Linked DNA regions of Mus musculus. The protein of the gene in region 1 interacts with the protein of each later gene in a biochemical or structural test. Links are inferred from orthologs where the notes say so. Each region holds a gene or a part of one and is shown on either strand. Other genes may lie near its edges.

Region 1 (6,813 bases):
AGCTTTAAATCCCTATTTTTCCTGATATTAAAAGGAAAAGCAATGTTAAATTATGACACAGATCTTAAAATAATCTGATCACGTGGCTGGAAAGGTGTCTTAGCACAGACTGTTTTCCCAGACGTTTGATTCCCAGAACCCATGTGGCAGCGGCTTACAATGATCTGTAATCCTTCCAGTCTGAGAATCCAAACGATCCAACACTCTCTACTAGCCTTGGAGAGCACTATGAACACATGTAATACACAAATGCACATACAGGCCAAAAAGAGGGGGGGGGGGAGAGAGAGAGAGAAAGAAGGAAAGGAAAGGAATCCATACAATAAAAATAAATCTTTAAAAAAGGAAGCCAATGTTTCCCCCCTCCCCAACCTGCTCTGTAGCACAGCTTGTTAAATGACCTACAACCCCTTTCTCCTTTTTTATCCTCTATATGCTTGTACATGAAGGCCCAAGGCTAGGTAGGTCTCAGCAATTGTCCTTGGTCACGACTCCACTGCATTCATTTAAGCAGGGTCTCAATCGAGCGGAGAGCTTGTAGACATGGCTTCTCCTCCCAGGCAGCCTGCTCAGGGCTCTCTGGGTGGGAATGACAAGCCCAGGAAACACTCATGTGGGTCTCTACTCTGGGAGCTGGCTCTACTTCTAATGCTTGCACCTCGAGGGCTTTCACTTCTGAATCACGTCCCCAGCCTCCTTTCCCACTGTAAAGGTATTGCTTTGTGTGCTTGTGTGTGTGTGTGTGTGTGTGTGTGTGTGTATGTGTGTAACATTTTTGGTTCAAAAGTACAAAAGTGTAAATCAACCATCTCACCTTTATTATTTCCACCAACTGATCCACACCACTGTCCCCAGGAAATATTGGTTGTCCTAGCAACAATTCAGCCAACACACAGCCTGCAGACCATACATCTGAAGAAAAAAACAAAAGAAAAGTTTATCACACTAAATATGAAGTGAAATGTATATTTAACTTAGATCGCATAGTATTGATTAAATCCAAATATGACAATAATTTAGTCAAAATCAGTGATGGTTTCATTCCAAACATTGTTAATTTTTTAAAAGTACCTATTCATATACTGGAATCCTTTTTATTTTTTAATAAATAATTATTTTTATAAATATTTAACTTTCACAAACCTATTCTGTATGCCTGAGAAAGAGTGAAAAGAGAGAGACAGAGACAGAGACTGACTCAGTACATGTAGCCCCGGGTTGGCTGGATTTACAAGAGATTTGCCTACATCTGCTTTCTGTGTACTGAGATTAAAGGCAAGTACACTACCTACCCAGTCTTCTATAAATCTTACAAAGTCTTAAGAAGCAAGATCCTGGCTACAGTTATGGCTTATCCATTAAGAAAGACTACTTGCTGCTCTTGCACAGAACCTAGTTCAATTCCCAGCATCCATGTAATGGCTCACAACCACCTATATCTCCAGAGATTTGACACCCTCTCTGACCTCCACAGGCACTAATGTATGCATGTGGTATGCATACATACATGCAAAAACACACGCATAAACCAAATTTAAAAGGCAAGCATCTTAGATCCAAATCCATGTTTTCTACAATGTGCCAGGTGATCTGGCTCTGATTATTTTAGAAGGACTGTTCAGATTTTTGTAGACCCTGGCACAACTCAATCTATTATCTTGTGCATAGATCATATATAGCTAACTAGTATCAAATATTTGACTAGAATACTAATCAAATACTGTATCCAGTGGCATTTGCAAGGACAAAGGACTAAACTTTCTCTTGGAGACAGCTGAATTAGTAAGCCCAGGAAAGACTGTCGCCTACAGTACTTGAGTAACGTTTTATGAAGAGCAGGCAGAATCAGGGTCTCCACGTGGCAGCTCAGATACTGTTTTCTCCAGTCAGCTTCTCTGCAGCACTTCTCACTTATTCAGTCACATACGCCATGTTCCTACAGCCACAGTAAGACAGCACCACACACGGCACCACACACACTCCCTCCCTCCTCTCCTCTGGCAGGTTTCATCAAGTGTGGGCTGTAGAGCCCTAAGTGTTGCAGACATTTTCAGGTCCTAGAATGTAACTTTACACTAACAGCATAAACAATAAAATGACCTAGTGTGTAAAAAGCACCAGTATCAGCGAAAAGATGCTTTGGCATATTGCCCTTTCTGAAAAGAAAAAGAACAACGCACCGCTGTGCGTATCAGGAGGACAAAGCACTGTACTAAATTAGCCAGGTTTTGTTTTTATTTTGGTTTTTGCCCCGCCCCCATGACTATGGGTTTTTTTCCTGGGGGAGGAGTGTAATATGTATGCTTTAGTTTCTATTTAGGACTAACAGGTTCTAATCAGAAACAAAGTGAAAGGGGCTGTGGAGGTGGCTTATGGTAGAGAGAGCTGAAGACAGGATGGTCTCAGACCCACGGGTCAGCTAGTCCAGCCACATCAGTGAAGCCCAGCTCCCCGCCACCCCTGCCATGATACATTAAATAAACTGATTGGGAGAAGGGTTTTTGTCTACTAACACAGCAACTGCACTAGAACAGGTTAAGAAGATAAGGTCAATGAAGATTTCAACTGTCTCTAATCTTTCTATCGTTAGACATCTCCAGTGAAACTTTTAAACCTGAAAAGCTAATGAATTAAGCTGCTCGAAAATTAAGCGATGCATCATTATAGGAATTCAGAAATATTACTGCCCTATTAATTATAATATTAACATTTTAAAAGTAACATTATTAATTAACAAGTTTTCTAAGTAGGTTAGGCTCAAGAATAAACACTTCAGGAGAGCTAGAAAACTAGTACAGAGCCCATTAGTAACTAAGCAGACAAAAGTTCCTTCCGAGCAGCTGTGGCTGAGCTCCACGCGTGCTGTGAGCACGTCTTTTTGCCGTCCTTCCCTGCCTCAGTAATGTTTCTACATGATTATCAAAAATTATTTGAAACTTTAGCGTCAAATAGATGCATTAAGCAACTACAATACAAAGTAATACTTGTATAATTCTAATACTAAAAAAGCATAAAACCAGAAAGGCATCAACTCTAAGGTGTAAGAAAGAAAATGAACTCTCTTCATTTCTGCAAAGGTGTCCTCCGCAGCCCTGCCCTCGCTGAGTCAGAGAACTGGTAAGAACCAGGCTGCAGTTAACAGTCACACCCACTGCACTCAGACCCGGCACTTACCTATACTGGACGTGTAATCAGTGGCTCCAAAGATCAACTCTGGTGCCCTGTAGTACCGAGAACAGATATATGAAACATTGGGCTCTCCTCGGACCAGCTGCTTTGCACTGATGAAAAAAAAAAAAACATTTTTAAAATATATACCTTAAAGAAATGACTACTTTTACATTCACATACCACATGTTCATCTAAATCTTGTAAGACTGCAATAATGCCACACACTTGAAACTGTTTCCAACAAAAGAAATACACAATTTCATCAAACTGATATCTAAAAAAGTGATTTTTAAAGTGAGTGTCAGGTGTTAGCTAAGGAACAAAGAGATTAAAAACTTACAAAAGGATACAAATGGTCAATTTCTTCTGCTTCCCCATTTCCTAAATTCTACTTGTGAAATATTAAATGGCTGACAGGCATGGTGGTGTGCACCTTTAATCCCACCACTCAGGAGGCAGAGATAGGTGAATCTCTGTGAGATGGAGGCCACTTTGTAGTGAGTTCTAGGTCAGCCAGGGATATACAGTGAGACCATGTCTCAAAAATAATTAATAAATAAAATATAAAGGTCAGAAAATTAAAAAGTAGTCTTCTCCAACAAAAGAATATTACCAGATCAGAATAGGCGAATATATCAATATTCCTCATCTATACGCTTTTTAAAAAAAGGGGTGGGGGATCTGGCCACTCTGTTCAACTTGGTCTTCTGACTCAGGATGACCGACTCAGCCTTACACAGCCAAGACATGCATGCTTCCACATTCTAGTCGGTTTACTGTTTAAACACCTACTGCTAAACAAACTGTGAAAAGGCATTCAACTTTAGGGGAAAATGACTCAGACCCTATCAACTGCATCTCTGCAGCTCTAAGTTTACATATTATTAAAACCTTCCTCCTAAAGTAGCTTACAGTATATATTTTAAACACTGAAGTGAGTCACAGTATCTCTTGAAATGTCTTTTTAGGTAACTCCATCTCAAAAAAGCAGGCCGCTCTAGGAGCTGTTCTGACAGCAGCATCAGATACAGAACAAAATACTGCAAGAAAACCAAATGAACAAAGAGGGAAAAAACAACAAGTAAATAAATGCCAAAAAAGGTGAAAAATCTGAGGTAACAGTGAGGAGGAGGAGACCCAGACAGGTGAGGAGACAGTCTTGGGGTGGGGTTTCTTTTCCTTCAATTTACTTATAGTCAATGATGACTCTAAACTTGATTTGTTTTTCCTTTCATCATCCGTTTCAAATTTTAACCTTCTTCTTAGGCCCAGATAAAACAGTATTTGCTATATTAACAACAGTAAGGTTTTCAGACTCTCAAAAAAAAAAAAAAAATCAAGGTTTAGTGTACTAGATAACCGACTTTCCTCTCTTCAGAAGTGCATTCTGGGGCTGGGATAGCTCCTTGAAAACACAGTTGTCTGTGATGTGGAGTTTAAACTCCAGCTCTCAAACAAATGACTAGCAGGACTCGGTGGCCCACGCCTTGAGTCTCAGCATCTGAGTGCTCTACATGGAGGCAGAAGCAGCAAGCTGCTATGACAGCCAGAGCTACATTCTTAATGGATAAAACAGATTCCTAAAATACAAACTTCCCAATAACTCCAAATTATCTAACTGGAAGCCTTGACAGCCTGTATATTCTTTTCCCTCATTACCGATGAAGCTAACTTTTTCCTTTGTAGGTGAGAGGTTGACACTGCCTTGTGGTCTCACCTAAGGCTGGTCCTTAGACACCCCACTTAGCCTCTATAAAATGGGGTTTTCACACCCCATTTCAGCTACTGTCAGACCTGTTACACCTAGTTAAAAATAATTAAGAAGAAAATAAGGCTGTTTTGTTACGTTTCCACCTTAAGTGTCTCCAAAGTCCGACCTCAGAGTTGATAAAGAATGAGCTATTTCACACCCGTGAAAGCCCTCTTTCAAATGTATCAGAGCACAGCTACCCTATCTCCCAAGAGTCCCAGTGCTAACAACAGTGCTCTGACTCGGTGGTGAGAAGAGGAACTTGCACTTGGTGGCTCTTGCAGGTCTTGGCAGTTACTCTCCACAGTAAGAGACCCCATGTGACTCGGGCGCCTTTTCATACGTGAAATAAGCAGTAGCACACAATTCAACCAACAAATAAAAGCTTTAGTGTGTTCACTAGAGCCACAGCCTGCAAAGTTGAGATCCTGGGATAGGGCTTGCTAAGTAGGAATGGTTTGGAAGAAACTGCATGACTAAGACGAAGCATGAACTTACTGACAGCAGATTGGCTCGGTTTTTCCAAATACCTCCCTACACCTGTGGAAAATGTATCTGATGCTAAACCCACAATCTAATCTGTGGTTTGGTGTAGAAGCCTATATAAAGAGGAAAGAATACAGACACCAGCAGGTACTAGTCAATATATAATCTGTGGTGCTAAATTGAAAAATAATTCTAGCAAGGATGAAAAAGCATCCAAGTTATAATGAAAGATGTCTCAGGAGAAAGAGCAGAGGTTACCACTGGTGGCTATAGCAGAATGGAAGAAGGAATATGATGGTCTGTCCTATGGTGGATATAGGCTTGACTGCATGGTGGGAGGCTTATAGCTACTGACTACACAAAGAGAAAGCATGAGGGTTTTACTACTAGTAACAATATATGACAAAGAAATTGGTGGTTTTAAAAAAATCAAACTTGTTAGAATCTGCAAAAATGAGGAAACAGTGAAAAATATAAACATTAAATATTAAGTAATAGAGAAAAATCTTGCATCTTGGTATTTTACTGTACTCCTGTAGAGGTTAAGTATGAAATTAAAGGAATATATATATATATATAAACGTATAACTTAAAAAATCTATTTGTAATGAAGATGGAGTAGATATACATATTACATAAACTCAAGGAATACTGAAGAATAATCAATGAGAATGCAAGTTTTCCAAGTACATAATAATCCTAAGACATCCTATTCCAGATAATCATGAATGGAATATTACATATGTTTATTACGCATGTTTGTACACAAGTAGTCACAAAAGTGTTTTTAAAACAAAAGCTACCAAGCATACAGTACTGACCTGACAGTGGCTTTCTTTTTGCACAGTTTCTCTACATGGCTTAGGCCAGCCTCAAACTAATGACCTCCCACACCTTAGTCTCCTGAGTGATTAGGATTATCAGCAAGTGCTACCACAGCCTTTGAGCTTGAAAGTTAGCACTCCAGCACTCCTGTGGCAGTCAGGGGACAACTTGCAGGACCAAGTTAAGTCCCTGGGATCAAACTCAAGTTGTCAGCCTTGATAGCAAGTGCCTTTGCCAACTGACTCTTCTCTCTTGGTACTTCCCAGACATCACTCTCTTCCAGTTGTGAGAGCTCCCTCATTTTTTCCTTCAGCAGCATGTTTAACATTGTATTTGTATATATCAATTTATCTGGAAATTTTCTTGCTACTAGATATTTATAAGCAACACTGTATTAAAAAATCTCTAAATATGTAATAAAGAAATAATCCTCAGAAGTTAACTATAGGATAAAGGGCACACACATTTATTGTTCCCACAAAAATTATCAAAACAATTCTCACACGGAACTACATTAGTTTATATTCCCTGAATAAGGATTACGGGGCTTAGACTAGCACTGTTAAATGAGTCACTTAAGA
Region 2 (4,625 bases), on another chromosome or scaffold:
TCCACACATAGGTCCTACAGGTAAGACACACCCTTTCCATATTCTGTTTGTGAACATACAGACCATGATCACCAAAGAACAGGATTTTTGTTCACCTGTAAATCCTTTCTTTCTCTGGGCATTTTTTAAAAAAAAAGATCTATTTATCTATTTTATGTATATGAGTACACTGTAGCTGTCTTCAGATACACACTAGAAGAGGGAATCAGATCACATCAGAGATGGTTGTGAGCCACCATGTGGTTGCAGGGAATTGAACTCAGGACCTCTGGAAGAGCAGTCACTGCTTTTAACTGTTGAGCCTTCTTTTCCAGACCCATTCTGTATTTTAATAGGCAGTTACACAAGCTGAGTAATGCAGTTGAGAACTAGGCAAGACAGTTCAGAGCGTCGTGAGAACTTGCATACAGCAGGAGCATCACATTGAAAGAGAAATGAGAAGAAGCTTGGTCCATGTTTACATACGTCACTGTGACCTGGAATGAAAGTTTTATGTAGTTAGTTGCCTGTTATAAACAAGTTTCCTTAAAATGAACAGAGCATATTTGTAAGTGGCAACAGGAAATGGTGGCCTGTCTTCATGTGAGTGTGCTGAGCAGGTCACTCTTCCAAGCTCTTCAAACATCAGCAGAAGGTCGGGAGTGCTACATTCTGTGTCTGCAGGCCTCAGTGCCGATGCCATTAGAATAATGTTTGCTTTCAGTCACGTGGATCAGGGTGACTGCAGAGACGGAGGTACAGTGGAAACTGCCTGCCAGCGTCAGCTAGGACCAATAGGGCTGGCTCCATCCAATAGGTCTGTCCATGAGTTACTGTAAGGTCGTGAATGCCCCAGGCATGTTCTAATCAAAAGCAGAGAAAGGCCTGAAAATTGAAAAGGAGAACCAGAACCTAAAATTATTTATTTACAACTTATTTAATTCTGCTAGAATAAAACATAGATCAAAGTATGAAACAGTTTTTAAATCATTTCCTGTATTAGGTCTAAAATCTGTCTTAACCTTTTTGTCATTTGCCATGATTTTTAGATTTACAGAATTTTGTTGACCAATTTTCTTTTTTTCCTTTTCTTATAAGACTGGAAGTATTTAGCTTTTAAAATTCTGATTCCAAAAATCTTGCTAGCCTTTGACACCTGCTTGGACAGAAAGGTGAAACAGAACAGGAAAAGCGCTCTGACAGTGTCCTGGCTGGACTGAAGCTGCAAGCCCCAATCCTGCTCAGGGCGGCTGCGGGGCCAGGCTGCGGGCAGCAAATTCTGGGTGCTGTGCCCCCAGGAAGCTTATGAGCTCCCTGTCAGTTATTCTGGCCCTTGCCCCTGGTCTTGCAGTCAGTGTATTTTAGAGACAGTAAATGCATGAATCTTTAGGATAAGTATAAGATAAGCTTAACCATATTTACAATTAGAGTCCTAAGAGGTCATCCGGGGATAAGTCAGTGTTGTAGTCGGCTCTGCCTTCATGGAGTGTTCCTCACCACGGCACTTTTTTTTAGATAATTACATTTCAAATTTATGAACTGTAGGTTACTTAAGAAGGTAGGTAAACAAGTGTAAGCATGTTAGACTCTTGTTCTGTTATAAAGTTCACGCACTGTCTGAGTATTTAAATTGATCGTTTTGATAATTGAAACCATACTTAGGACTGTATACCCGGGTACCCACAGAAATCAAAACGACTACTTGCAAGTTAGAAGGGTTTCCCTTTGCACATGATAGTGATGGGATAGATCTGCCCTCACTGGGAGTTTAGCCTGAATCGTGTAATATTTTACTTTGAAAAGAAATGAAGTCTTCAGACATCATAACTTACCTATCAGGCAAATTATGAATGACTGAAGAATGTGAGAGCGTAGACTGTGAAGACCCATTCTACACACTGCTGCTCCAGGAGCTGCTGAGATCATGAGTGCGAGGTGTGTGGCAGAGGTTAGACCACCAAGGCTGGAGCTGAGAGTAGACCACTTGCTCTGGGGGAAAGGCCCTGGCTCAGTTCCCGGCACCAGTGAAAACCAGAGTGCTTTTCTAAAGTGCATCGATAGGTACAGCTCTTGAGTTGGTTTGCTTTTATTCTTTTTTTATTTTTATTTTTCAATATGTCTGGGGGTCAAACCCAGGGCCTCGTGCACAGCAAGCACACGCATCTAGATTTACCTCAAGATAGAAGAGCTATTTGGGGCCCAATTGAGTTCCTCTCTGCTCTCCAACTCCATCCCTTTTTACTTGCCTCTACTTACATTTTACTTGCGTAGGTCTTCCTTTGTTGATGTGCTATTCGTTGCCTCTCCATCCATGTCTGTGAAGAGCAGTGGCTCTTTGGTTGTGATGGTTTTGGGGATTGAACCCATGGGCTCACTGCACACAGCAGTCACGCGAACTACCCATCCCCTACACAGATTTCGACTGCACCAGCTCCCAGCCTTCAGACTGATTTCTGATGCAGTCTGCTTCTATAAAACTAACGCAGTGCTCTATTGCTTTCCTGCTCTAGCTATAGGCCGTACAGCTACCGGCACTTTGCACCGCCCACCACACCCTGCAGCACTGATGTCTGTGACAGTGACTATGCTCCTAGCCGGAGGATGACCTCGGTGGCAACAGCCAAGGGCTACACCAGTGACGTGAACTATGACTCAGAACCTGTGCCCCCACCGCCCACACCCCGAAGCCAGTACTTGTCAGCGGAGGAGAACTATGAAAGCTGCCCCCCTTCCCCATACACGGAGAGGAGTTACTCCCACCACCTCTACCCGCCACCACCCTCCCCCTGCACGGACTCCTCCTGAGGAGGGCCCCTCCTCCTCTGACTGCCTCCACCGGGACATGTAAATACACATCTGGTTGAGATCTGGAGGGGGGGAGGGAGCTATAGAGAAGAGTGAGGCAGACTCTGTACAGTTAACATTATAAAGTGGGTGGGTGCTGGAGATATTTGTACAGAAGAAAAGAATATTTATATATTTTCTTAAAACAGCAGTTTTGCTGCTTGTGCCATAAAAGTTTGTATAAAAAATAAATTTGTACTAAAAGTTTTATTTTTGCAAACTAAATACACAGAGCATGCCTTAAGCCCAGTGAAGAGACTGAGTACAAAGGAAACAGGAAAAGAAAGGCATCACTGACCAGGAGTGTCTGGGTTTTAACGATACCAAAAAATAAAAAGGAGAAAGTAATTCCATCTTAGAGTAGCAAACTTGGAAGTAGCCAAATTGCCTTTGGGTTAACTAACATTTGAGGGCCGACAAGTCGAGAACCCATGAAAGAAGAAATAACAGTACTAACTTTGGACACAGGGCTTTGTTTTCTCCAGGAATCCAGCAATTTTCACGAGGAAAATAGATAGTTGTGAGATCCGTTTTGAGTGCTGCTGTTGTAGGAGCTGAAGCGTCTCTCGCGGGAGCTGCTGAGAGCTCTCGCCTGTCACAGTCCATGGTAACACCAGCTGTTCTCACGGTCTGCCTCCCAACACCTTGGAGACTGTTTTGCCAAGAGCCATGATTTATTTAAGCTTTTTAATCTGAGGAGTTGATTAAATGGAATTTACTAAACACGAAATTGAATTGATTTCAGTATACCTACTCTGTTCGTTCAGCAATTGGCTGAGTTTTTAAGTTGTTGGCTGTTTTTGCATAATCAAAAGTTAGCCATATTATTGGTCTTCCACAATTGTTTTAATGCTCATTAAAGTGTCTTTTTAGAACATATAAGAATGCTTAAAAATCACAAATCTAACTGTTATATTCTTGTAAATTAGCTTTGTATCCTTGCAGCATACAATATCACAGTGTGAAATCATTTTATGTATTTTGTTAGTAAAACATTTCAATGTGCTCTCGTTAGAAACAGTCTGTTTAAACAGAAATTCTTATTGTTAGTAGGCGTCCCCTAGATGAACTGTTTGTGACATTTTCACTTTCTGTGGACCAGCTTTTCTCAGAGTGATGTTTGCAGGCATAGCTCTGCCGATGTGCTGTGAGGTAGCTTCTCGGTATGCGCTGTGAATGAGTGTGTTCACACGGCCCACAGTCTGTCCTTAGTCTCCTCCTGTGTCTCTCTGTGTGCTCTCTCCTACCCCATTATGGATTAAGATAATTTCACAGATTTAACAGTGGGATTAAATGAGAAGACACCGTGAACTTCTCAGCTGCAGAAATTTGAGCAGTGGAGACAATGGAAGTCTCCTGTCACATGCCTGACCTACTGTCACATACCGGGCCGCTATGTCTGTCACTGTTGGGGCTGGCTGTGGGATGACCCTGCTGGGGACTAGTTTCCTGCTTTCACATGTGCCTAGCACTCCTCTCCTAAAGCTGAACTTTTTTTAAGCTAGTATGATTTTTACCTTAACAGGTGTCGATTAATTATTGAATACATTTTAAAAATTATATATTGAATTGTAGCTATGAATTTCAGAGCCTAAGGGGAAACAATGAAAGAATTGATTTCAGAATTTGGCAGAGTTTGAGCGACTTTAAAAAAACAAAACAAAACGCCTAAGAACGTTTTTAAAGAGAAAAAACTCCTTTCTGACTAATGCGTAGTTGTTGTGGACAGCTTAGTGAGAATCAGGGGCCTTGCATCTAAGTAAAGGGCAATCTACCTGTGTCCTGCATTTCAGTCAGATAAG

Evidence for each region.
Region 2: of the proteins of Gsk3b (region 1) and Lrp6, one has a biochemical effect on the other in vitro, tested with the Homo sapiens proteins (2 studies listed by BioGRID, with this or other methods). The link is inferred for Mus musculus from reciprocal best matches to the Homo sapiens genes GSK3B and LRP6.

The regions. Positions count from the first base shown.
Region 1 is NC_000082.6:38,187,996-38,194,808, reverse strand, and holds part of Gsk3b (glycogen synthase kinase-3 beta), read right to left. Parts: intron 3,282-6,813; coding exon 3,175-3,281; intron 913-3,174; coding exon 815-912; intron 1-814. UniProt on the Homo sapiens protein: Constitutively active protein kinase that acts as a negative regulator in the hormonal control of glucose homeostasis, Wnt signaling and regulation of transcription factors and microtubules, by phosphorylating and inactivating glycogen synthase (GYS1 or GYS2), EIF2B, CTNNB1/beta-catenin, APC, AXIN1, DPYSL2/CRMP2, JUN, NFATC1/NFATC, MAPT/TAU and MACF1.
Region 2 is NC_000072.6:134,448,945-134,453,569, reverse strand, and holds part of Lrp6 (low-density lipoprotein receptor-related protein 6 precursor), read left to right. Parts: coding exon 1-20; exon of another isoform or gene 21-864; intron 865-2,235; exon of another isoform or gene 2,236-2,489; coding exon 2,490-2,784; 3' UTR 2,785-4,625. UniProt on the Homo sapiens protein: Component of the Wnt-Fzd-LRP5-LRP6 complex that triggers beta-catenin signaling through inducing aggregation of receptor-ligand complexes into ribosome-sized signalosomes.